Macaca mulatta: one gene and its partner. The protein of the gene in region 1 interacts with the protein of each later gene in a biochemical or structural test. Links are inferred from orthologs where the notes say so. Each region holds a gene or a part of one and is shown in the gene's direction. Other genes may lie near its edges. The genes, in order: MAGEF1 and NSMCE1.

Region 1 (12,176 bases):
CCTTTCCTCTCATACCTAACTCTAGGGACTTGGAGTTGGGAGCCACCCACCAAGACCGTAAACGCCTGGAATCTACAGCCCTGTCTCCACGCTTCCCACAGCACCTTACTCAGTGCCTTGGGCTTAAAACACACCTAGTAACTGCTTGTGGCATAAACAAGAAGTTTCACACACATGACAGGGGGAGAAGCCCTCTCCAAATGAGCTGGGTGGTGTGCAGAAAGGGGTCATTGTTATGGGAGGCAGAGCTGGAGGCGAGCCCTTCTCCCTCCATCCACCCGGAGCAGCACCCCCAATTACACCAGCTGGCCTCCAACTTCTGTGTGTGAGCCGATTAAAAAGCACCCTCTCTTCAGTGTCTGGAAACTCCTGCAAGGAAAGTTTGCTGCCCAAAGTTGGCTTTTGACTAGAGTCTTAATAAGAGGCCTCAGCAGGCTGTGGTTAGAGAGACAATGTCACTTAGAGGAGCAGCTTGAAGCGGCAGTTAGGAGAAGAATTATTTTAATGAATACATTTCCTTTCAATTGTATGGGAATATCAAGATCCCATTAGAATGGGGAAGCAATTAGAACTAATAAAGATGAATGCACAGTGCTCTGTGCGTGCGGAATAACAAGCAGCCCACAAAGGGGCTCCGGAGAGGCCGCTCTAATCCAAGCGGACCGGCGGCCAGCAGAGGGGAAACGGCTCTGTTCAGCCACTCAAAGACCCCGCATCCTGCACATTCTGATCACGGCCTGCAAATGGCGTGAGGTGGGCCTCGGAGGTGGGGGTTGGGGCCCCCGCCCTTGCCTGGCCTCTTGGGGATTGAGATGGGCTGTTGGCAGCCCCTTGGCAACAGCCATTCAGACCAGGGCCCTGGCTCCTGGCCAGGCTCTTGCCCGCCCCTTGCACTGGGCCTCATTGTGTCCAGGTGGCAAATGCCTTCTCGCCAACTCTCCTTCAAGGTTTAGAGAGGGGGTGGGACAGTGGAAGAGGGAGAAGGGGAAGAATGAGTAGGGGGCCTTCTGCCCCCTGCCATTCCCCCTCCCCCGCAGGCCAGGGTCTGCTCCTCCTCTGGGTTTGGTATTATATTACAGACACTGGTGAGTCACTGGCAGCCAAACACAGAAGTACTGTTGCTTACACAATTACTCTTCAAACAGTAACAAACAATTTTCATTACCCAAGTCAGATCGAATCATCTGCCTGGCCATCCTGCCTCAATCCCAGCCCCACAGAGGGACCCAAAGCCTCACACTCTGCCCATTCTGCTCTGACAAAACCAGCCTTCAATTTGTCCCAGCCTAGGGATAGGGACAAAGCTCTTCCTCTGATCCCTGCTTGAAGCCGGATCAGCTGCACGGCTATCAAGACTGTCAGGAGAAATAGGGAAGACACAAGCACCTATGCAGCCTGGGGACCATCAGATCTGGGGTGACATGTTACTCAGCACCTATGTGAAGAAGGCATTCAAGAGTTTGGAGGACTCTATTGCCAAGTTTAGAAGGAATCCAACAAGATAACCCTGGCTCCGTACCAAAGTATTCACTGGCCTCAAATAGAGTGTCAGTACTTGACATTTCTTTATTTAATCTTTTTTGGCCAGACAGTTTTTTCAACGAGGAATGTGTAAGCTATTCCGAAATGTCTGTATAAGAGGCCAGTCACCCTCATTACTGGGATTTTTCCACCACGTCTCTTTTAGAAAAGGGTCTGTAATATTTTATATTTATTTCTTAACGGTGGAGCATTTTAAACGCATATTTACATTTATAATCTTGATTGAACTTCAAAATAACTCTGTGAGGATGGGCAAAACAAGGGTTGTCAGGGCCTAAAGATGAGGAAAAGGTGGCTCAGAGAGGTTCAGCAGCCTGTGCAAGGTCACAGAATGGGCGAGTACTGACGTGCTTCAGCACTTTGTACCAGGACACCTCCTCCGCATCTCCACAGCGTGCTGGCATTCCAGGACAGCTCAGCTGCAGATCTACTTTTCCAGTGGAACATCCTTCTCCCTTCCACGTATGAAACTGTACGAAGCACTGTGAGCTTTTGAAGACTCTAGTCTAGGCTAAGAAGGATTCTCTCTCAAGAAGATTCCAACCCAATAGTCATTGAAGTATATGTTTCATCATCTCCCAAACCAAACACATATACCTTTTGTCCCTTTTAAAAGCTTAGGTAAGGAATGTGTTAAAAGTCTGCCTGTTGCCGGGCACGGTGGCTCACGCCCGGTAATCCCAGCACTTTGGGAGGCCGAGGAGGGCGGATCATGAGGTCAGGAGATCGAGACCATCCTGGCTAACACGGTGAAACCCCGTCTCTACTAAAAAACACACAAAAAACTAGCCGGGTGAGGTGGCGGGCGCCTGTAGTCCCAGCTACTCGGGAGGCTGAGGCAGGAGAATGAGGTGAACCCTGGAGATGGAGCTTGCAGTGAGCTGAGATGGCGCCACTACACTCCAGCCTGGACGACAGAGCGAGACTGCATTTCAGAAAAAAGAAAAAAAAAAAAGTCTGCCTGTCCAGTTACATGGTGGACATAATGAAATGAGAAAAATGATTGTTTGCATCCCTCCCACTATAACATGGTAACATCTAGGGACTGGCAAGTGGTAAAGCAAAGTCCATTCACCTTTCTTACTCCTCACCACCTCCCATACCTAAAGGGCTGTTCATTTTTTAAAATCCTTTTTATTTCTATAAATTTTGAGGTATGATTCATACACTATGAAATGCATACCTGCCTGGGTGTGGTAGCTCATGCCTCTAATCCCAGCACTTTGGGAGGCTGAGGCAGGTGGATCACTTGAGGTCAGGAGTTTGAGACCAGCCTGGCCAACATGGTGAAACCCCATGTCTACTAAAAATACAAAAATTAACCAGGTGTGGTGGCACATACCTGTAATCCCAGCTACTCTGGAGGCTGAGGCAAGAGAATCACTTGAACCTGGAAGGTGGAGGTTGCAGTGGCAGGGACTGCAGTGAGCTGAGATTGTGCCACTGCACTACTCCAGCCTGGATAACAGAGTGAGATCCTGTTTCAAAAAAAGAAAAGAAATGCATAGCTATTAAGTGTACAGTCTGACAAGTTTTGACAAATGTATACCTACATCCAAATCAAGACACAGAACATTGCCATCACCTCCGAAAGTTCCTGGATACCCCTTTCCAGTCAACACCACCCCATGCCTCCACTGTCCTAATTTCTATCACCGTAAATTAGTTTATCCTGCCTTGAACATCAAATGGATGGAATCATATTATATGTATAATCTTTTGTATCTTTCTTCTGTCACTCAACATATCTGCCGGACTCATTCACATGGTGTCAGTAATTTGTTCCTTCTTATGAGCAGTATTGTCATTCATTCAGTTCTTAAAATCCAGCCCTATTACCACAGATTTGTCCCTCAAAATTCTTTTCATTTAATGTATCTTCTGCATGCTCCTTTCCATGCATATATCTCCTGCATATCTTCCTGGCAATCCTTGTAGTGAGGAAAATATGCAAGTGGACTATTTTATCTCTAGCCCTGTCCTTTTAGGTATGGGTGGCTCGCTCTACCTTCAGGAAAAACAGATAACCAGGCAGTCTTGCTTCAGAGTTTACAAATCTGGGTTTTCATTTCTTGTCTAGCACTTAACAGATGGGTGGTTTGGGGCAGGTGATTTAACCTCTCTGTGACTGTTTTCCCATTTGTAAATGTGGATAATAATACCTTCTTAATAGGGATTTGTGAGGACTAAATTATATTGTACATAAAATGTTTGGCACAATGAAAACTAATAACAGCCTTGAGCTGGGCTATAATAAACATCTTCTCCTGCTTCATTCACATACTTTCAGTTTTTGTAAGTCATATGATACAAATGGGTATATATTTTCAAAAGTTTTTAAAAGGAAGATTTCATATTTAGATTTAGAAAAGTCTGTCAGATATTTACTTAAAATAAGTAACTGTTATTTCCCAGGGAAAAAAAGTAAAGCATTCTGTCATTTATTCATTGCCAATTATATATCGAGTATTGACTATGAGAAGCTCTTCAAAAGAGTTAAAGACATAGCCCTAGCTTTTAGGATGTTTGGTTTGGGAAGAGTAATAAGATAAGCACAACACATTATAGTACAAAGTATAGTAAATGATAATAATAATTAACATCCACAAATGTAGTGGTTAAGAGCACGGTCTCTGGAGTCATACTATATGGGCTCACGTCCCAGCTGTGTGATGTTGGGCAAGTTGCTTAACCTCCTTGTGTGTAACCTCACCTGGAAAATGGGGCTAATAATACCACTTACCTAGCAGGGCTACAGTATCGGAAAAAAGTGGCCCAGAGTGTTTGAGCATCCTGTGCAAGGTCACAGAATGGGTGAGTACTGACCTGGTTCTGTGCTTTGTCCCAGGACACCTCCTCCACATCTCCACAGAGTGCTAGGCATTCCAGGACAGTTCATCTTGCAATTCTAATATTGTATATTGCATATAAAAATATGCAATAATTAACAGCTAACATTTATTGAATATCAATATGTACCAAGCACTGTGTTAAATGCTTATGTGCGTTACTTCACATAATCTCCACAATGCTGTTACTACTATTATACTCATTTTACTGATAAGGCAACAGAAGGGCAGAAGTTTAGGTAACTTGCCCAAGATTATACAGCCAGTAAGTAGCAAACTGTGCCACAGAAAAGACACAATCATCTATAAAATGGGGATGATGGTATTAGTACCTACATTAGTGAGAATCCGATGAATTAATATTTGAAAAATGCTTAGAATGGAGCTTGGCACCTAATAGGCCTGTATACGTGGTTGTTAACAAATTGCTAAGGTGATTCAGAGATGACAATAAATAACTTCTATGCATGGTGACTAACGAAGGTTTGGGAAGGTGATGTTTAAACTGGGCCCTGAATGGTGGACAGGATTTGGAGAAATGGAGGTAACAAAGAAGGCATTTCAGACAGGGAAAGGAGGGAGGGAGGGAGGGAGGGAGGAAGGAAGGGAGGAAGGAAGGAAGGAAGGAAGGAAGGGAGGGAGGGAGGGAGGGAGGGAGGGAGGAAGGGAGGCAGGAAGGGAAGGAGGGAGGGAAGGAGGGAGGGAGGAAGGTAGAAGGGGAGGAAGGAAAGAAGAAGGGAAGTAAAGAAGGAAGGAAGGAGCAAGAAGCGGAAGCAAGCTCAGAGTCTGTAAAAAGAGAAAAAGAAGAAATACATGGCAGTAGTCAAATTTGACTTGGGCAAAAACAAAAAGCAAAACAAAAACAAACAAACAAAACCAAAAAACTTCCCCTTTCTTCCAACCAGTCCCTATTTCTGCTGTACTTCCTCAGTATATCTTATCATTTTCCTCTGATCCCCATGGAATCTGCTGTCCTTACTCCCTTACCATAATGACCCATTGAATAATATTTATTGAGTTCCTCTCTGTGTCAGGCACTGCTCTAGGCACTGAAGATACACCCCAGTGAATAGGCCAGGTCCCAATTCCTATTTTGCACTATAATAATCCTCCAAACTGGATTATAGCTTTTAGCCGGCCGAACTCCAATCCATCTTCCACAATACCACCAGAACATGAAGACACAGATCTGGTCTGGACACTCACTTGCTTAAATCCCGCTGCAGTATTTTCTCTTTATGTCCAGAATAAATTTCAATCTCCCTAGCATCCCTTACTAATTGTCTCGCACAGTCTTACCTCCCAGCCTTCACCGTGCACTCTGCACTAGAGCCACGGTAAAGCACTGAAAATCCGAGATACACACACTTACAAATAGGCACTTGCAGAAAGAACGTGAGTGGCACTCCATCCCTATTTCATCCCTTGTACACTGAAACTTCCCCAGTCTGCATGCCTTGGATGGGAGAGTCCTGGTTACATTTCCCCGCCCCCGAGTTTTCGAGCCTAAAATCCGGCACAGGGTGCACCCACGTCCCACCCTCCAGGGCACTTCCACTTATAGCAGCCCGGGCACACGCCCCCACCCAGAAGGGGCCGGAAAAGGAGGGGCTTCGCGCGGCGCTAGGGTCGCCATCCTGGCTGAGGTGGCCGGAAGCGGCCCCTCGCGCGGGCGCGGACTGAGGCTGCGCGCCGCAGGTCCCGGCTGCTGGCGGCGTTGCGGCAGCAGGTTTGACTCCCGTGTGGTGCGGCCCAGCAGCTACAAAGTTCCTTCTGCCATTGCTCCTCGTACTCCCGCCGCCCCAGCCGCTGTCCAGCCTCTCCCCCGGGGCTTGCACGGCGGCTTCCACACCCCTCGGCCCGTGCACGCGCTGTGCACCTGCCTGCCCGAAAACATGTTGCAGACACCAGAGAGCAGGGGGCTCCCGGTCCCGCAGGCCGAGGGGGAGAAGGATGGCGGCCATGATGGTGAGACCCGGGCCCGGACCGCCTCGCAGGAGCGCCCCAAGGAGGAGCTTGGCGCCGGGAGGGAGGAGGGGGCTGCGGAGCCCGCCCTCACCCGGAAAGGCGCGAGGGCCTTGGCAGCCAAAGCCTTGGCAAGGCGCAGGGCCTGCCGCCGTCTGAATCGGACGGTGGCGGAGTTGGTGCAGTTCCTCCTGGTGAAAGACAAGAAGAAGAGTCCCATCACACGCTCGGAGATGGTGAAATACGTTATTGGAGACTTGAAGGCTCTGTTCCCGAACATCATCGCAAGGGCCGCAGAGCATCTGCGGTATGTCTTTGGTTTTGAGCTGAAACAGTTTGACCGCAAGCACCACACTTACATCCTGATCAACAAACTAAAACCTCTTGAGGAGGAAGAGGAGGAGGAGGATCTGGGAGGAGATGGCCCCAGGTTGGGTCTGTTAATGATGATCCTGGGCCTTATCTATATGAGAGGTAATAGGGCCAGGGAAGCCCAAGTCTGGGAGATGCTGCATCGGTTGGGGATGCAACCCTCAAAGTATCATTTCCTCTTTGGGTATCCGAAGAGGCTTATTATGGAAGATTTTGTGCAGCAGCGATACCTCAGTTACAGGCGGGTGCCTCACACCAGTCCACCGGAATATGAATTCTCTTGGGGTCCCCGAAGCAACCTGGAAATCAGCAAGATGAAAGTCCTGGGGTTCGTGGCCAAGCTGCATAAGAAGGAACCCCAGCACTGGCCAGTGCAGTACCGTGAGGCCCTAGCAGACGAGGCCGACAGGGCCAGAGCCAAGGCCAGAGCTGAAGCCAGTATGAGGGCCAGGGCCAGTGCTAGGGCCGGCATCCACCTCTGGTGAGGGTTGGTGAAAAGTTGGCCAGTGGGGTCCCCGTGGGGATGAGCTACTGTCCTGAGTCATAAGTAGTATAGGTGGGGCGAGGGTCTTATTTCTGTAGAAATAGTGTGACTTTAAGGATTTAGATTTTGTATCTTATGTTTTGTTACATTTAATAATACTGTTAAAATGCTGTTTGTAAATGAGATTGTTCTACTTTTTCCTGTAGGATTTTGTTGTAGAGTTTTGCTGGTTTTGTAAAATGGCTTGAAGAACTTTGTATTTATACTGTGATTTTGAACAGATTATGGAGCATTGGAAGGAAGGCTGTACTTTAATGGTTTGAAGGAACTCAGCAGTATGATGATCTGGTTCCAGGAGAAAAAATAGCTGATTGGTGTCTAGCCTCCCAATACTTTTGTCTGTTGTATATAAAAGAAGAAAGGCTGGCATGTACCTCCATTTGCTTAGCTATTTGAGTATCTATAGAAAAATTAAAATGTAATGAATTAGTATACCCTGGTACATTTAATAAATTAAACATTTGTGGAGTATCTTGTTTTTTGTGATGCACTGTGTGGGCACTTGGGGTTAGAATACTAAACAAGATAAAGGTCCTGCTTTTTTTCAGAGTTGGAGAGTAAGTAAATAAACGAGAAATTAACAGTGCAGTAAGTTGAAGACTACAAAGGGATATTTAACCCAGCTGGGGTGATTGAGTGAGGTTTGTTGTAATCTCAGCACTTTGGGAGGCTGAGGCGGGCTGATCACCTGAGGTCAAGAGTTCAAGACCAGCCTGGCCACCCTGGTCAGTAGTAGAAACCTTGTTTCTACTAAAATTACAAAAATTAGCCAGGCGTGGTGGTGCACGCTTGTAATCCCAGCTACTTGGGAGGCCAAGGCACGAGAATCCCTTGAATCTAGGAGGTGGAGGTTGCAGTGAGCCGAGATCACGACACAGCACTCCAGCCTGGGCGATAGAGCAAGACCCTTTCTCAGAAAAAAATAAAAAATAAAAATACTGATTTCAGATTACAGCTACTACTCAGTAACATGAGCAGTACTTGATACATGGCAGATCTGGAAAATACCCTACCTTCACCAGTGTCCTCTTTCCAGACCAGATTGTTAACAGTGCACAAAGATGGTGATTGTTAAAATTTTGACCCTTTCTGTCTCCTTTTCAACTTCTACAGGGTTCCCTCTTTTACCAAAGCCCTCAGAGATCAAATAAGGTAATACTTCTGGAATATTATGTAGTGTGAACGAAGGGTACATAAATCTACTACTACCAAGAATTTCCACTTCAAGATTTCTCCTCTGGCACCAGGAAGCCCAGTTCTCCCTTCCATGTTTCAACCTACTGCTTTCCACCTGCCACCTCCCATTTGGAGGAGACTTGTAAGGCATCCCTCCCCTTCATATTATCCGTGGAGAGTCATCCGTAAGCAGCTCTGGCTTCTTCAATGCCCACCACCTTCTGTGAGGATAAATCCCATAGAAAAGGTACTTAGAATAATAGGTAATTTAGAGAAGTGATTCCCAAACCAGAGGGTGGGGGGCAGGGCGGGCAGATAGTGAAACTGTTCCCCTGCAACTGCCATAAACAGAAGAGCTGCTTTCTTTTCTCTTGTCAGTTTTTTCTTCCATTTGTGTCCAAGTAACATCTCTGAGGATGTTAAGGTTGGCATGGAATACAAACTACTTTGGAACATAGGGATCCACCAAATCAGATTGGGACAAAAGCTACCAGTTTATGGGCAAAAAAGTTGGTAATGGTTAAAAATACAACTTCTGAATAGTTTATAATTCATTAAATGTAAATATTGAGTGCCCACTCGGTGCTAACAACATTGATGGGTACCAGAACTATTAAAATGAGAAGACTTGGCTGGGCGTGGTGGCTCACGCGTGTAATCCCAGCACTTTGGGAGGCTGAGGTGGGTGGATCACGAGGTCAGGAGTTCGAGACCAGCCTGGCCAGCATAGTGAAACCCTGTCTCTATTAAAAATACAAAAATTAGCTGGGTGTGGTGGCGCACGCCTGTAATCCCAGCTACTCAGGAGGCTGAAGCAGGAGAATCTCTTGAACCCAGGAGGTGGAGGTTGCAGTGAGCCGATATCGTGCCACTGCACTCCAGCCTGGGCAACAGAGCAAGACCTCCGTCTCAAAAAAAAAAAAAAAGAAGACTGGCTTTGCCCTCTAGGAGCAATAATGATAGTTTCTCACATTTGTATTTTCTCACAGGGATGAGAGGTCAGATTACTGGGTGATTTGCCTAAGGCCTTTTGGTTGGTAAAATGCAGTACCAAGACTATAACCCGAGTCTGTTGCCCCAAAATCCAGTGTGTTTCATTCTAGTACATTGTTCCCCATTCCTAGCCTTCAATTTTGGTCATCACAACTCCAAAAAACAAGTGAGGTGTGTGTAATTATCTCCAGTCACCACTGCAGTTGTTACGGGAGTGAGATAGAGTAGAAATTCTCCCTGTCTTACCAATGACAGAGGTGGCTTTGCTCAAGGTCAAACATGTAGTGGTGCATGGTAAAGACAGGACTAACGGGACCATTGACTAAATATCTACTAAAGGCCAAAGGCATTCTTTTTCTCCTTTTCACAAGCACATTGCAAATACCTCTATTTGACAGACACTAATGATAGTAGTGTTACCAATTATTTTTTTAATACCTAAGATGAGCCAGCTTTTTATGCTTTACATGTTTTAATGATTTTTTTTTTTTTTTTTTGAGATGGAGTCTCGCTTAGTCGCCCAGGCTAGAGTGCAATGGCGCGATCTCGGCTCACTGCAAGCTCTGCCTCCCGGATTCCCTCCATTCTCCTGCCTCAGCCTCCTGCCACACCCGGCTAATTTTTTGCATTTTTAGTAGAGACGGGGTTTCACTGTGTTAGCCAGGATGGTCTCGATCTCCTGACCTCATGATCTGCTTGCCTCGGCCTCCCAAAGTGTTGGGATTACAGGCGTGAGCCACCGCGCCTGGCCTAGTGATTTTTATAACTGTCTTAGAAGATATCATCTGTTCCATTTTGCATGAGGCAAACAGACTCAGATGCTATAAGGGTCTCACAGATAGACCATGACAGAACAAGGATTGGAGATGAAATCTGAGTCAAGAGGTCGCACTTTTCACTATTGTACATTTCCTTCTTGAGATTCCTTCCAGACTTGAGTCATTTGTCTCCTGAATCATCTTCTTTCTTCAGACACCACTGTCTCTCTGGAGATGCAAACAAGGGCTGTGTAGCCAAGGTAATTATGAGAAGTCGCTGCCCAGCAGGTAAAAATGAGGATAAAATACAGTTGGGGCATTATCTTTGAATGTTGGTCCCAGCTCTACCTACTCTTCCCAGTGTTCTCAGAGTGCTGGCTACAAGTAGAATGTATTTTTGCTCAAACTTAGCGTATTTTGCCCTTACAAACTGTGTTTCCTCAGTCTTCAGTCTGCCCTCTCCACTAAACTTCAAATTCATCTTTCATGCCATGGAATAATCAAATAGCATTTGTGGATCTGCAAATATGATTCCCAGCACTGTTTTCAAATAATACAAAATGCTGGCACAACTGGTACCCTTGCCTCAGGATGAAAGACCTCCATTGCAGATGTCCTTATCAGCTTCCCAGAAGTGCTAATAGTGTGGTCTCTGGGCCCATATGTGGAGCAGACATTGGCCATGTTAAGGGCAAGACACAGATTCTTCTCTTGCTTATGGCCACTCACATGAGGGAGAAGGAAGGCCTAGATCCCCCCTCCTGCCCCCTTCAGACACACACAGAACTAGATCTTCCTGGGTGAAACACTGTGTGTGTGGGGCAGGGAAGATTTGGTTGAGGGAGTGTTGGCAGATGGATTACTCCAAATCATATTTATTATAGTGCAACTAGGAAGCAAAGCCAGTGAAGGAAATTCCCTCGAAAACTATGAATCAGAGACTGATTTGAGTAATAATAAAACTCTGGTCTCTCGCACAGCCGGCTCTGCATGAATTACTCTTTCTCTATTGTAATTCCCCTGTCTGATGAATTGGCTGTCTAGGCAGTGGCAATGTGAACCCTTTCGGCAGTTACAAATTTGGGGGCTCATCCGGGATTCATCGCTGGAGGGGGGCCAGTGAACCATGGACAGGTAGCCCCACTCCAATGATGGATCCAGAAGCCAGCCCAAGCAGTCACCTAGTTCTCTTGAACTGGGGGCTAACTCCAGTACTCTGTACTGGCAGGGTGCTGCCAACCCAATGTGCATGGATTTAATTACAATGGAGAAATAGTCCCAGGGAGACATCCCTTAACTGTAGCCCTATCACAGGGTGTCTATTGTATCCCCAGTGTGGGATGTCTGGTGAGTATCCTAGGTGCTGCCAACACCTTCTTCCTTCTCCTGACTGGTTCTGTAGCCCTATGGTGGGGTGTCTGTAGCTCCATTGCGGGGTGTGTGTTTGGCTCCTGGGCGGGTCTTGGTTGGCTCTTTCTAATCAGTAGGAAGAGTCCTGGTTTGAGAGACTTCTCTTCAATCAGGAAGATTTCGAGGAGGTTTCTCAGAGAATAGGAGAATAGTTTGGAAGGGACACTCTTGGAGTTCTAGGTTAGGGATCTGATTTGGAAGGCCATCTGTCCATCTCATTTTTGTGTGTGTTTGTATATGTAGAAAGCATCTCAGAGGGGTTGCTAATGAAAGTCCAGCAGGCCTAACTCAGAGAACTCTCCTTATTTGTCTGGTCACATTCAATGAGCTCTAAAGAAGGCTCAACAGGCCTCTCGGGGTAACTGTCTGGTCTTCCCCTTGCTCAGAGACCCCATTGTGAATTACCGTTCAGAGGTCATCCATCCCCACCTGGAGTGGGTCAAAGACAACAGGGACCAATGGAAAAATTTTGACCTTTGCTAGGCTGATACTGGGTGCTGCACGAAGTGACTAATGTCTGTTTTGTTATGTGTATTTTGCTGGGATGGAAAATGTTAATTCGGTTCC
Region 2 (12,083 bases), on another chromosome or scaffold:
GCCTGGGCTCCATTTCCTTCCAAGTTACAGAAACTATGAGCAAGTTGTTAACCTCTCCAAGCCTCCTATATATACAGATGATATTAGTGATGCACCTTATGGAGTTACTGTTATTGTCATGATGAAATGAACCACGCGAATGCATAGTGCTGGCACATAATAAGGTGAATTACAGTCACACATTTGCAGGCCCCTTGATTTTAGCCTAACACGAACTACTTTACTACAGCCCTTAAGAAATCCAGACACACCCTGCCTCTTCCGAGTAGACAAAACACAGGTGGCGCTGTGTTTAGAGGTTTAGAGGTTCAGCTTGCTTGATCCAAACATGGTGCTGGTTGTCCTGGCTTCGGTTTCTCTTTCCCTGTAGAGGAGACATCTGTGGTAGGGCCAGGGCCTCGTTCCTCTGTCCTCGTAGCTGGGCCTCCCATATCACTGACTGGAGGTTGGTGGTGTGCAGAGAACCAGCCTCTGATCCGGCCCTACCTACAGAAAACCTGATGTTTCGATATTTACTGAAGGGTGTGCCTTTTTCTTCAGTTGGTTCCGGATTCTGAAAAGGAGTGGTATTTTTTTATTTTTATTTTTATTTTTTTATTTTTTTTTATTATTATACTTTAAGTTGTAGGGTACATGTGCATAACGTGCAGGTTTGTTACATATGTATACTTGTGCCATGTTGGTGTGCTGCACCCATCAACTCGTCATTTACATCAGGTATAACTCCCAATGCCATCCCTCCCCCCGCCCCCCTCCCCATGATAGGCCCCGGTGTGTGATGTTCCCCTTCCCGAGTCCAAGTGATCTCATTGTTCAGTTCCCACCTATGAGTGAGAACATGCGGTGTTTGGTTTTCTGTTCTTGTGATAGTTTGCTAAGAATGATGGTTTCCAGCTGCATCCATGTCCCTACAAAGGACACAAACTCATCCTTTTTTATGGCTGCATAGTATTCCATGGTGTATATGTGCCACATTTTCTTAATCCAGTCTGCCACTGATGGACATTTGGGTTGATTCCAAGTCTGTGCTATTGTGAATAGTGCCGCAATAAAGTAGTGTATTATTAACTCCTAAGTCCTCAAAGTGGTATTTCTAAGACTGAAAGTAGCTGTCTCAGAATCCCACGATATGGACTTTATCCCACACTCTTTATCATGACCATGGGCTTGTAGAATATTGAGGTCAAAAGGATCCTCAGACATGCCTTTAGCCCAGTGTATCCCTACAGATTAGCAAACTGTAGCTTCTCCACCAGGGCTCCAGGATCAGAGGAGAGAGCAGGGGCAGAGCTGTGGACATTAGCTGTCCTGAAGACCTGAGGCTGGGAAGCAGCGATCTGGTGCCACCTTAGCACTTAGTGGGCATCGTAAGGGTCTTGGGAGCAAGCAAGAGACCCCAGTTCTGAGAAAGGAATGTGTCGGGGCTGGGCGTGGTGGCTCACGCCTGTAATCCCAGCACTTTGGGAGGCTGAGGTGGGCAGATCACTTGAGGTCAGGAGTTTGAGACCAGCCCGACCAACACAGTGAAATCCCATCTCTACTGAAAATACAAAAAATTAGCCAGCTGTGGTGGTGAAACACCTGTAGTCCTAGTGCCTGGGGAGGCTGAGGCAGGAGGATCACTTGAACCTGGGAGGTGGAGGTTGCAGTGAGCTGAGATTGCGCCATTGCACTCCAGCCTGGGCGACGGAGTGACACTCCATCTCAAAAAAAAAAAAAAAAAAAAAAAAAGGAATGTGTCGAGATGCTATTGGGGGAGGGACACGTAGGATTCATTGGTGGCCAGGTGCGCAGTTGGGGACGGGCAGGAAGCATGGCACCACTGCATGGCCAGAGCAGCTGGCCCTCTATAGTGTCTAGGCTGGAGCCACCTCCAAGCTTCCTTTTGTCCCTTGCTCAGATTGCGAAAGTGTCTGGCTGGTGTGGGTTCTCTGTCTACTCCTGGCTGCCCTAATCTCTGGTCCCTTCAGCTTTCTGCTTTCTGGTTCCCTGAATATTGTACCTGGAATTATTCTCTCACCAAAACCGCAAATGTAAGAGAAAGACAATTCTAAAAAAAAAAAAGAAAGAAAAAAGGCGAAGGTCTCATTAGGGAGGGACATGGCTGCTGGGCTGGCAGGCGTCACCAGCTGACTCCTGTTTCAGGGTGGCCGGACACAGCAGCTGGAGCACCGTGTGATGAGGAAGGAAGTGCTGGAGCCGTGGGAGGACAGAGCTGGGAAGTGCAGCTCATCTGGTTGGGGAAGGCCTGTACAGCAGGCTGCCAGAGGACCAGGAGGCTGGGGTCCAGCCAGGGGTAGTGGTGGAGAGGCGGGAGGGAAGAGGGTTCTGGACATGTGTGAGGCTGGAGGTGAGACCGTGTGTGGCTGTTAGAGATGAGAAGTCGGGGAGAGACTCTCACAGGGCCCCACAGAGCGGGAGGGCAGGACGGGCTGGAGCCCACACCCTGCTGCCAGTCCCATGGCACCACACCGCCTCTGTTGCTGCCAAAAGGAGTCAGTTGAGGGGTTTGCTGAGCGTAAGAGAAGTTTCTTCTCAGGTCACAATTAAGAGGCGCTGCAAGGGCGTGGGGCCTCCATGAGAAACAGTTACAGGGTCAGTGATGGAGATCGTGGACACGACCCTGATGCAGGAAGCGTGTGGAAGGAAGGAGAGGGCGATAGCGGAGAGAATGGGAGCGCCCAGGCGGTGGCTGGTGTCTGCAGTGAGCGAGTACAGTAGGAGGAAGTGGTTGGTCAGATAAAAATACAGCAAAACATTCATGGTTTCTGAAAAATGAGGCCGGACGCCAAACCAGAGGCAGTGGGGAGAGGGGAAGGGCAGAGAGGGCTGCTGGCTGCCTCCCCGCAATGGGGTGTCTGGAAAGTCCAGTAGATCAGAATGCCTCTCATCTGCCCACAGGGCACATTGTTCTCAGTGACACCCAGGAGGGGCCTCGTTAGTGGAAAATGTGAGTTGTCAGTTTCAGAGGGAGGTGGGACTTGCCCTGGTGTCACACTGGGTGGACAGGGCTCCTGTCACTCACTCTGCACTGAGCAAGGCTTTTTGGTGTCTGGGCCCCTTGCGTCTGAGCTCCCCAGCACTGGCTGCCCTTGGGGGTGGAAAAGCGTGTCTGCCCAAGTCACCGGCACAGGCAGGTACGGAACAGCTTGGCTCCCACGCCAGCGAAGAGCTGCCTTGCGTGGTGTGGAAGAGGAAGACAGCATCGGGGGCAGAAGAGAACATTTCCTGGAAAAACAGGCCATCGAGGTGGCTGCAGCAGTGGAGGGAGAGCTTTTCAGAAAGGAGGGACCCGTGAGCAGAGGCGTGGAGGCAGGAAGTCAGGCCATGCCTCTCAGTCCTGATGCCTGCTCTCCAGCCACCGAGGCCAGATGCCATTGTCTCATGTTACGATTGCACCATGTCCATGTTCCACCCACTTATTATGACTACTTTTTAATTTAAACTGCCTTTTAAAAACTTTATTTAAATGGAAGGTTAGCTCCTCGCTGAGCATGGCGCGTTAGTGTCACTGCCCTGGGCTTTGTTCTTGGCTTTTCTGGGCGCCCACAGTCTGATCCTCTGATAGAGCTCACTGGCCTGGGTTGTCCTTGACTCTTTCACACGGCTATGTCCTCCATTTTCACCAGCGTGATCTTGTTTTTTTTTTTTTTTTTTTTTTAACTTTATGGATCTTGAGTTGTATGGGTAGCTTAGAAATGCCTCTGTCTATAAGAAATCAAACATAGACACACAGCGTGAGGGCGCTGTGATGACCCCCGTTTAGTCCCTTCCTGGCAGTGGCCTTGGTCATCAGTCCAGTGGGCAACCTGCTGGGCCTTTTCCTGTGGGACCGTTTCATTGGTTCTGTTTTTGTTTCACACGAAATGTATCAGATTGTCTGTTTTTTCTTGCAGTTTTTTTTCCAAAATGATTTTCTAAGGCATGAATCTTTTGAAATTATTTATTTTAATACATAAAAACAGTGAAAACAGTAATACATACTCTTGCTTTAAAAAGTTTCGCAGCACAAGCTCATTCCTGTAATCCCAGCATTTTGGGAGGCCGAGGTGGGCGGATCACCTGAGGTCAGGAGCTCGAGACCAGCCTGGCCAACATGGTAAAACCCTATCTCTACTGAAAATACAAAAACTAGCTGAGCGTGGTGGTGGGCGCCTGTAATCTCAACTCCTCGGGAGGCTAAGGCAGGTGGATTGCTTGAACCCGGAGGTGGAGGTTGCAGTGAGCCAAGATTGCGCTACTGCACTCCGGCCTGGGCGATAGTGAGACTGTCTCAAAAGACATGACTGTCTCACAGCATGAAAGGTACACAGCGCTGGACATGTCCTTCCACTGCTTCCAGTGCTCAGAGGCTTCCTGGTGCCACAGGAGAAAGGCCCTGCTGTCCCCGGCCACAGGCCCTGTGTGATCTGGCTCCCTTCCCCACCGCAGCCTCTCTGCCCTCCTTCCTTCCCTGGCTGATCAGTGTCCATTCAGCTGAGCCCCCGGCCATACTGTGGGTACCCCCTCCTCAGACTGATGGACCTGGATGGTGGCCCCTGGGCTGTGAGCGTCCTGCTGGCAGGGCCAGGGGAGGTGGGTGACAGAGAGGTCAAAGCCCCGGCCTTGTGGTACAACTCTGGGTGAGTCAGTTCACCTTTCTGCGTCTCAGCCTCTTTCCCTGTGCCCAGAGAGCTGCTGGAGGGTGGATTCATGATGACAAAGGGTGCCCGGGACAGGGCCTCTCCATGCTGAGGGCTTGCTGCAAGCCGCCCTTCTCACCCCGGTTGTTGTTATTCTTACTGTTCCAGCCCAGGACCTAGCACAAGCCTGGCATGTAAGTGAGGATAAGTGGACACTGAATAAAAAAAGAAAGGAATAAAGCTCCACCTAAGACGTGTGGGGACGCAAAGGGACAGAGGCCTCTCGCGGGGCACTGGGGACGAGGTAGAACGGCTGAGATGGGATGGGATGTGTGTGCAGCGGGAGCTTAGTGCACGCTCTGAGCATGTCATTGAGTGATACGCTGAAGGTGCTGATCCAGACTCTCATCGGGAGGCAGCGAGCAAAGACAGGAAGCCCGCGGCAGCCTCCGTGGTTGCAGATAGCATCTCCCCGGCCCTCCTGCCTCACAACGCCCTCCATCTGTTGTCTGTTTGTCTTCCAAGTACTCCAGGAAGAAAGAAGCCACACGGCACTGGCATTCACCCAAGAGGCTGCAGCCTCCGCCCGTGTCTGGGGTTGCTGTCCCCTGTGTTGAGATGGGATGGAATGATTCAAGCAAACTACGTTTTTTTGATGAGGCCCCCCATCACACCCCTTTTTTGGTCTGTTTATTTCCAGGCAATGCCACTGTAGATAAGTTGGAGGACTTCATCAACAACATTAACAGTGTCTTGGAGTCCTTGTATATTGAGATAAAGAGAGGAGTCACGGAAGATGACGGGAGACCCATTTATGCGTTGGTGAGTGCCCGGCAGAGCCCTCTAGTGGTGTTTTTGAGGAGCTGGAACAGGGCCCAGGCAGCCCGTGTTTGCTTTGGTTTGATTTCTCTTTTGGACAGTTCTTTGTAAAGAAGTCACTCCAAATGTATGGAATATTAGGAATAAAGGGAGAAATGGTTTTTTACTTAGAATAAGACATAGAAGCGATGAAAAGAAACAGTGTGTAGGAGTGTCAAGGATTGCGACCCACGTGGGGTCTTCAGTGGTTTTCAGATTTACTCTCACAGGTAGGGATCAGGGTGAAAACACAGGAGTGGGAAGCTGACATGCCCCATCCCTGGCTAGGAGACACCTCGGGCTGGTCAGAGGACATCTGGCTGCTCCCAGCCAGGCTCACACTCAGAAAGGAGCACTCTAGTCCAGGGTTTCCAAAACATTACACAGGCAAAGAACTATGGAAATGCTGGTCAGACACGGCAAAGCAGATTTCCTTGCTGTCGGACTTCTCAGTGCCTTTTGCATTTGAAGCTCCATTAACATGTAGACAAATCTCCCAAATTTATCTGAGTTTGGAAAATACTGCACACCCTCTGGAGTTCTGAAACTTCTGAGGGTCTAGCATGTTGACTGAGCTAAAGAATAAAGTCTGTAGTATATGCCTGGTTACAGATCCATCCTGCGGCTCGCAGTGCCTGGATACAGGAGCTCAGTGACTGGCCAGAGACGGAGGAGGGGAGGGAGGGAGAGCCAGCGACACGTTAACCAACACGCGAAGGGCACAGCCTGACTGTTGCGCTGACTTATTTCTTAGGTGAATCTTGCTACAACTTCAATTTCCAAAATGGCTACGGATTTTGCAGAGAATGAACTGGATCTGTTTAGAAAGGCTGTAAGTAGAGTAATCCCCGTCGCCCATTGGCTGGGCTTCTTATGGGAAAGTTCTTTCTCAGTCGTTAGAAGTGGCAACTGCAGTCTTCAAGGATCACTGCGGGGGACGTGGGCCACCACTGCTGTCTGAGGAAACGCTTTGCAGGGAGATATCACTGTCTACCCATCTGGAATTCACAGCTGTCAGGGGCCCCCATGGCTGCCTGGGAAGGAAGTGCTGGGCCAGGTGTGAGCCCCAGCTGGATGGGCAAGAGCAGGGCCTCACTGGTAGTAACAGGCGTTCCTACCTGGCTGCTGTTAAGTGCCATCTGGGAAAGGCAGCAGCAGCAGCAGCATCACCTGGGAGCTTGTTAGAAAGGCCCAGTCCCAGTCCCTACCCTAGACTGCTGAGTCCGAATCTGCATTTTTGCCAGGTGCCCGCTGAATCATTTGCATGTGCACATTTGAGCGGCATTGCTCTACCAGGCTTCAGAGCTACTTGCTCGGCCCTCTGGTCAAACATATGGCTAAGAGTGGTTCTCGGGCCTACATAACTGCAGAGGTGAGAAAGAATTCAGACATTTCAGCCCCACTTGGGATCTGTCGAATCTGAATCTCTGAGAACCAGGTGTTGGAATCATTCCTTTGAGGTCTTCTCCTGGGGTTTATTAGCTGCCAGGGTTGAGGAGCAGGTGCTGAGCTGAGCACACATCTGCGTGTGCAGGAACCTGTCTTCTCCAGAGGTTCCTGCCTGCCGTGTCTGTCTCTCGCTGCCTCTGAGGCCAGCTGTGAGGCAAGGTGACCCTTATTGATTTGGGGACATTAAGATGATTTATTTGGGAGGATGTTATCGAAGTGACCTCTGAGTCAAAAGAACTGAGCACAGTCCTGACTCTTGATGCGTATTACATTGTTTTCCCCGAATACCGTGCCAGTGTGCAGTTCTGCCTGTGATCCGAGTGGCCTTACTGCACCCCTGCCAGACTTAGTATTACCATTTAAAAGTTATTTTTGCCATTTTAATAGAGAAGCATGGTACCTGCTCTTTCTTCCAGCTGGAACTAATTATTGACTCAGAAACTGGCTTTGCGTCTTCCACAAACATTTTGAACCTGGTTGATCAACTTAAAGGCAAGAAGATGAGGAAGAAGGAAGCGGAGCAGGTGCTGCAGAAGTTTGTCCAAAACAAGTGGCTAATTGAGGTACTGTCTCATGGTTTTCCAGTCCGGCTCACTCTTTTGAGTGAATAGCAGTTTTGTCTCCAAAATCGTATTTCTAGCCAACTGATGTCTGTGGAGCCCAGCCTTCTCAGATCCCTTATCTGCTTTCACTCTTTTGAGTGAATAGCAGTTTTGTCTCCAAAATCGTATTTCTAGCCAACTGATGTCTGTGGAGCCCAGCCTTCTCAGATCCCTTATCTGCTTTCACGCATTCCAGCAGTGACCCCATGGGGAGGATCTGGGCCTCACCTCTCCTGCCTCCCACTCCCTGTTCACCCACATGATGTGTTGAGGATGCCACAGCCAGAATGGCAGAGCCAGGAGCTGCACCCGGGATTTGGGCCCCGGGACCAAGCCTCTAGCCCACAGACTGCAAGGCAGAGGCAGTTCCGTGGCTGAGAGTGTGGCTGTGATGTCTGACCCGGGTCTGAACCCTGAGCCAGGTGACCTCAGGTTCCCTGTAAGAGGGAAGTTGTCGTTTCCCCTTTGGGGCTGGGTGTGTCAGGAGCAGGAATGGGACCTCACAGTAACGTGCTCCGTGCTGCGCTGGCTGGCTCGCGGGGGAGGCAGCAGAGGAATTGGCGACGTTACCACTGTTGTTTTTGTCAGCAGTGAGTTCCTCAGGGTCAGTACTTAGAAGAGGCACAGACAAGCTTTAGGAAAGGAGCTGTGACGTCTGGGACAGGCCCCACTGCAGCTCCAGTTTCTAGATGCTGCCCCGCCCCCACGTCTAGTCCTGCTGAATGGAGCAGAACAAATGTTTCAGTTCTTTTTCCACAAAAGGCACCCCTGTTTTCAACAGCGTAGTGTTTGCTGAGTTGACCATTGCTGTGCCCTCCCAGATGCTCGTGCCCGTGTGTGTTGAGGACGCGCTCACGTCGGGTTCCCGCTTCCTCACTTGGTGGTCGGACTTGTGGCCAGAGGCTGCTGCTTGTGGCTGCAGCGACTCTCCACTTCCTGTTCAGGAAGGCTTGCCTCCGGATTGGGGAAGTCTGTGTTCTGAGTTACTAATTTCTGTGTAGGGTGGGCCTGTACCAGGAACCTGACCCAAATTCAGTTCCTGGGGTACCTGATGGGAAGAAAGGGTGGAGAGGTCACGGGGTGAGGGCAGAGGTCACAGGGGTGAGGTCAGGGCTGGGAGCTCCTGGTGAGTGCAGGATCTGCTGGGCACATTCCCGTATGTCCTGTCTCGGAGGCTGCCTGCTGTCCTGCAGTGGCTCCATAGCTTAGTTTTTAGCTGACAGCTCAGGGGTCTGGATGACATCGGACAACAGCTCAGGGGTCTGGATGACATCGGACACCCTGAGAGTGGCAGGGCCGAGTTCAGGCCCCAGTTTGGGGACTGCAGCTCCCATCAATGGCTTTGTCACAGTTTTTCTTGCCCTCCGGGCTGTATTTGGTACTAGAGAATGTTCTAGGGTCTGCTGAGGTTATAACTGACGATTCTCGCTTGTGGTGCAGCCCCTCTTAGGGCCAAGTTTTTTTTTTTTTTTTTTTTTTGAGATGGAGTTTCGCTCTTGTTGCCCAGGCTGGAGTGCAATGGTACAATCTCGGCTCACTGCAACCTCCACCTCCTGCTTCAAGTGATTTTCCTGCCTCAGCCTCCCAAATAGCTGGGATTACAAGCATGTGCCACCATGCCTGGCTAATTTTTGTATTTTTAATAGAGACGGGGTTTCTCCATATTGACAAGGCTAGTCTCGAACTCCTGACCTCAGGTGATCTGCCTATCTCGGCCTCCCAAAGTGCTGGGATTACAGGTGTGAGCCACTGTGCCCAGCCATGGGCCAAGTTTCTTAAGGGCAAGGGTTATGACCTCTTCATGGCTGATTCCCATTGCAGAATCTAGTGCGTGGCACCTCAGGCGCTCAATAAATGCTTGCTGATTGGATGACTGAACGGGTGGATGAGGTTACAGAGGAACAGAGTTTAAAACTTACAAAAAATGTTACAGGAAATACCTGTTCATTATAGGAGGATTACAACATGTCAAGATGCATAAAGAAACCCACTGAAGTCACCTGTTATCCCAGCCCCTAGAGCCAAGTGCCCCAACATTCCATTTCACAACACTTTGCAGCCTGCTTTGCACCCAAGAGCATGCGTGCCTAGCACACGCCACCACCATTGTGCATGGCTTGCAGGGCGTGCCCCCAGCTTTATGATTTGACTTGCCCTTTGTCTGCCCTTGGTGTCTGGAGAGGGCTGTGGTGGATAGGAGAGGCACCGCCCTTGGAGTCTGTGGGGGTGAGCTGTGGCTGCAGGCGCTTGTACTCTGTGCCTTTCTCAGTTCGGTGGCAGTGCTGGCACCGCCTTCTGCAGGGCGCCTCTGAGCTCGAGGGAGGGTGGATAGAGGATCCGGGAGCTGCCACCTGCAGGAGCGCTGCAGAAGTAGCAGGGGGCCCTCAGCACTGGTGCTGGGCAGTCGCCCTGGAGAGGCTTCTTGTTGACTGCCTGGCCTGCTGGGGCCCTGAGGAGGACGAAGGAACAAAGCTCATGTGGCAAGAGCTGCGTAGTGAGACTCCTCCAGGTTCCTCTGCCGCCTGTGGCAAGCAGCTTCTTGTTGCAGAGACTGTTTCCTCATCTGCAGGATGGAGACACTGCCAGCTCCAGGTTTCTGTGAGGGTCCAGTGCTCTCTGACCTACATGGCCTGGTAAGGGTTGCCCTGAGGTCTGCGGCACTCTGGAGGAACCGCTGAGAACAGGGGTGGGGTGCTCATGTACCCAGGACAGGTCTTCCTAGGGCAGCACCTCGATCAGAGAGACCACACGTCAGCGTCTGATCCTTGGCTTCTCAGACACAGGGCTTCCCACAGAAACAGCCAGGGGTCCACTGCCAAGGCCCTTCCAGGTGGGCATATCACCCCAAGGACATGTCACTCCTAGACAGCCAGTCCTGTGCGAGACTGGCTCAGCATGGAGGTGCTGAGGCAGCTGCCGGTCCAGGAGAAGGCCCAGGGGTGGTGGGTGGTTGGGGTCAGCAGAGAGGCTTCTGAGAGCAAGCGCGGCTCATGGGAGCTGGACGTCTGCTGATGGACGCACCTCCATGCACCCCAGGACTGCTCCCTACAAGAGGTCCTGACTTCCAAGTGTCGTGGCGAGGTGTCTGGGAGATTGCCTGGGCTCTCGTCTTCTCTGAGGGCTAGGGCACCCCTCCTACCCCTTCCCTGATGGGCCCACAGAGGACTGAGTGGGTCATGAATGGTGAGCCTTGGGTGCAGTTTCAGGTGCATAGTAGGTGTTCAGTAAATGCAGCTTGGCTGGGCACAGTGGCTCACACCTGTAATTCCAGCACTTTGGGAGGCTGAGGCAGGTAGATCACTTGAAGTCAGGAGTTTGAGACCAGCCTGGCCGACATGGTGAAACCCTGTCTCTACTAAAAATATAAAAAATTAGCTGGGTGTGGTGGCGGGCACCTGTAATCCCAGCTACTCGGGAGGCTGAGGCAGTAGAATCACTTGAACCCTGGAGGCAAAGGTTGCAGTGAGCTGAGATTGTGCCATTGCACTCCAGCCTGGGCAACAAGAGTGAAACTGTCTCAAAAATAAGTAAATTTAAAAAAATAATAAAAATAAATGCACCTCCTGCCTCAGTCTAAGCTTGAACTTGCTCACAGTGTGAGGCACTCCTCTGGGATCAGTGCAAGGTCTACTTCATCTTCCTGTGGGCCTGCCAAGTGCTGGGCCCCACAGCAGGTGCTGCGGACACTGGAGTGAGCAAAACCAGAGCTGGTGGCCACTCCCACGGGGCCGTGGTCTGGAGGGAGAGCCCAAGAGCAGTGAGACGGTCATCCCACTGCAGTCCAGGTACAGATGGAAAGGAAACATGGCTTTATGACAGCTGTCCCAGAGGAACTGGCCCTCAGCTGCTGAGTAAGTGACACTCAAGCTGAAGGCTGTGTGGGAGTTGCCTGGAGCCTGGGGTGGGAGGATCATCAGCCCAGCAATGGCCCTGTGGCCAGTGAGTGTGCTCAAGAAGCTAAGGCCAGGGCCATCTGAGCACAAAGATTGCTGGGGAGAGCAGACGAGGGCAACCCGGGAGATACATGCATTAGGGGCTTGGCCCTTGGACCTAAGGGTGGTGGGAAGCCCTCGGGCGGGGGTGAGGTGGGAGTGACAGGGCCAGGCTTGTTTTGTAGCAAGCACATTGCTGGAGGAGAGTGGGCTCAGAGAGCTGCAGGAACAGGGGAGGGTGGAAGAGGGTGGAGGCTGGGGAGGTGGGGTGCCGTGATGGATCTGGAGGAGGGTGGAAGGCAGCAGTGACCGGGGATGTGAGGTGCCGTGATGGATCTGGAGGGGAGGGTGGAAGTGGGTGGTAGCCAGGGAGGTGGGGTGCCATGATGGATTTGGGAGTTTTGGGGAAGGTAACAGCCATGGGACCGAGGACCGAGGACTGAGGACGGCCTGAGGGCTGGTCACATCCTCCCATTGCCCACAGCACTTGGAGAACACAAAGCCCCTGTGCACCAACAGCCGCCGTGCAGGGCATAAGCACCTGGTACCCTGGCCTCCCTCCACTGCTCCCGCAGCGGCTGTCCCTGCCCCAACCCCATGCCTCTACCCTGCCTCCCTTC

The links.
Region 2: the proteins of MAGEF1 (region 1) and NSMCE1 form a complex in vitro, tested with the Homo sapiens proteins (2 studies listed by BioGRID). The link is inferred for Macaca mulatta from reciprocal best matches to the Homo sapiens genes MAGEF1 and NSMCE1.

The regions. Positions count from the first base shown.
Region 1 is NC_133407.1:96,861,178-96,873,353, reverse strand, and holds MAGEF1 (melanoma-associated antigen F1), read left to right. Parts: upstream 1-6,072; 5' UTR 6,073-6,286; coding exon 6,287-7,213; 3' UTR 7,214-7,743; downstream 7,744-12,176. UniProt on the Homo sapiens protein: Enhances ubiquitin ligase activity of RING-type zinc finger-containing E3 ubiquitin ligases. Proposed to act through recruitment and/or stabilization of the E2 ubiquitin-conjugating enzyme at the E3:substrate complex.
Region 2 is NC_133425.1:26,776,254-26,788,336, reverse strand, and holds part of NSMCE1 (non-structural maintenance of chromosomes element 1 homolog), read left to right. Parts: intron 1-5,322; coding exon 5,323-5,444; intron 5,445-6,234; coding exon 6,235-6,312; intron 6,313-7,345; coding exon 7,346-7,492; intron 7,493-8,352; exon of another isoform or gene 8,353-8,500; intron 8,501-11,256; exon of another isoform or gene 11,257-11,731; intron 11,732-11,785; exon of another isoform or gene 11,786-12,083. UniProt on the Homo sapiens protein: RING-type zinc finger-containing E3 ubiquitin ligase that assembles with melanoma antigen protein (MAGE) to catalyze the direct transfer of ubiquitin from E2 ubiquitin-conjugating enzyme to a specific substrate.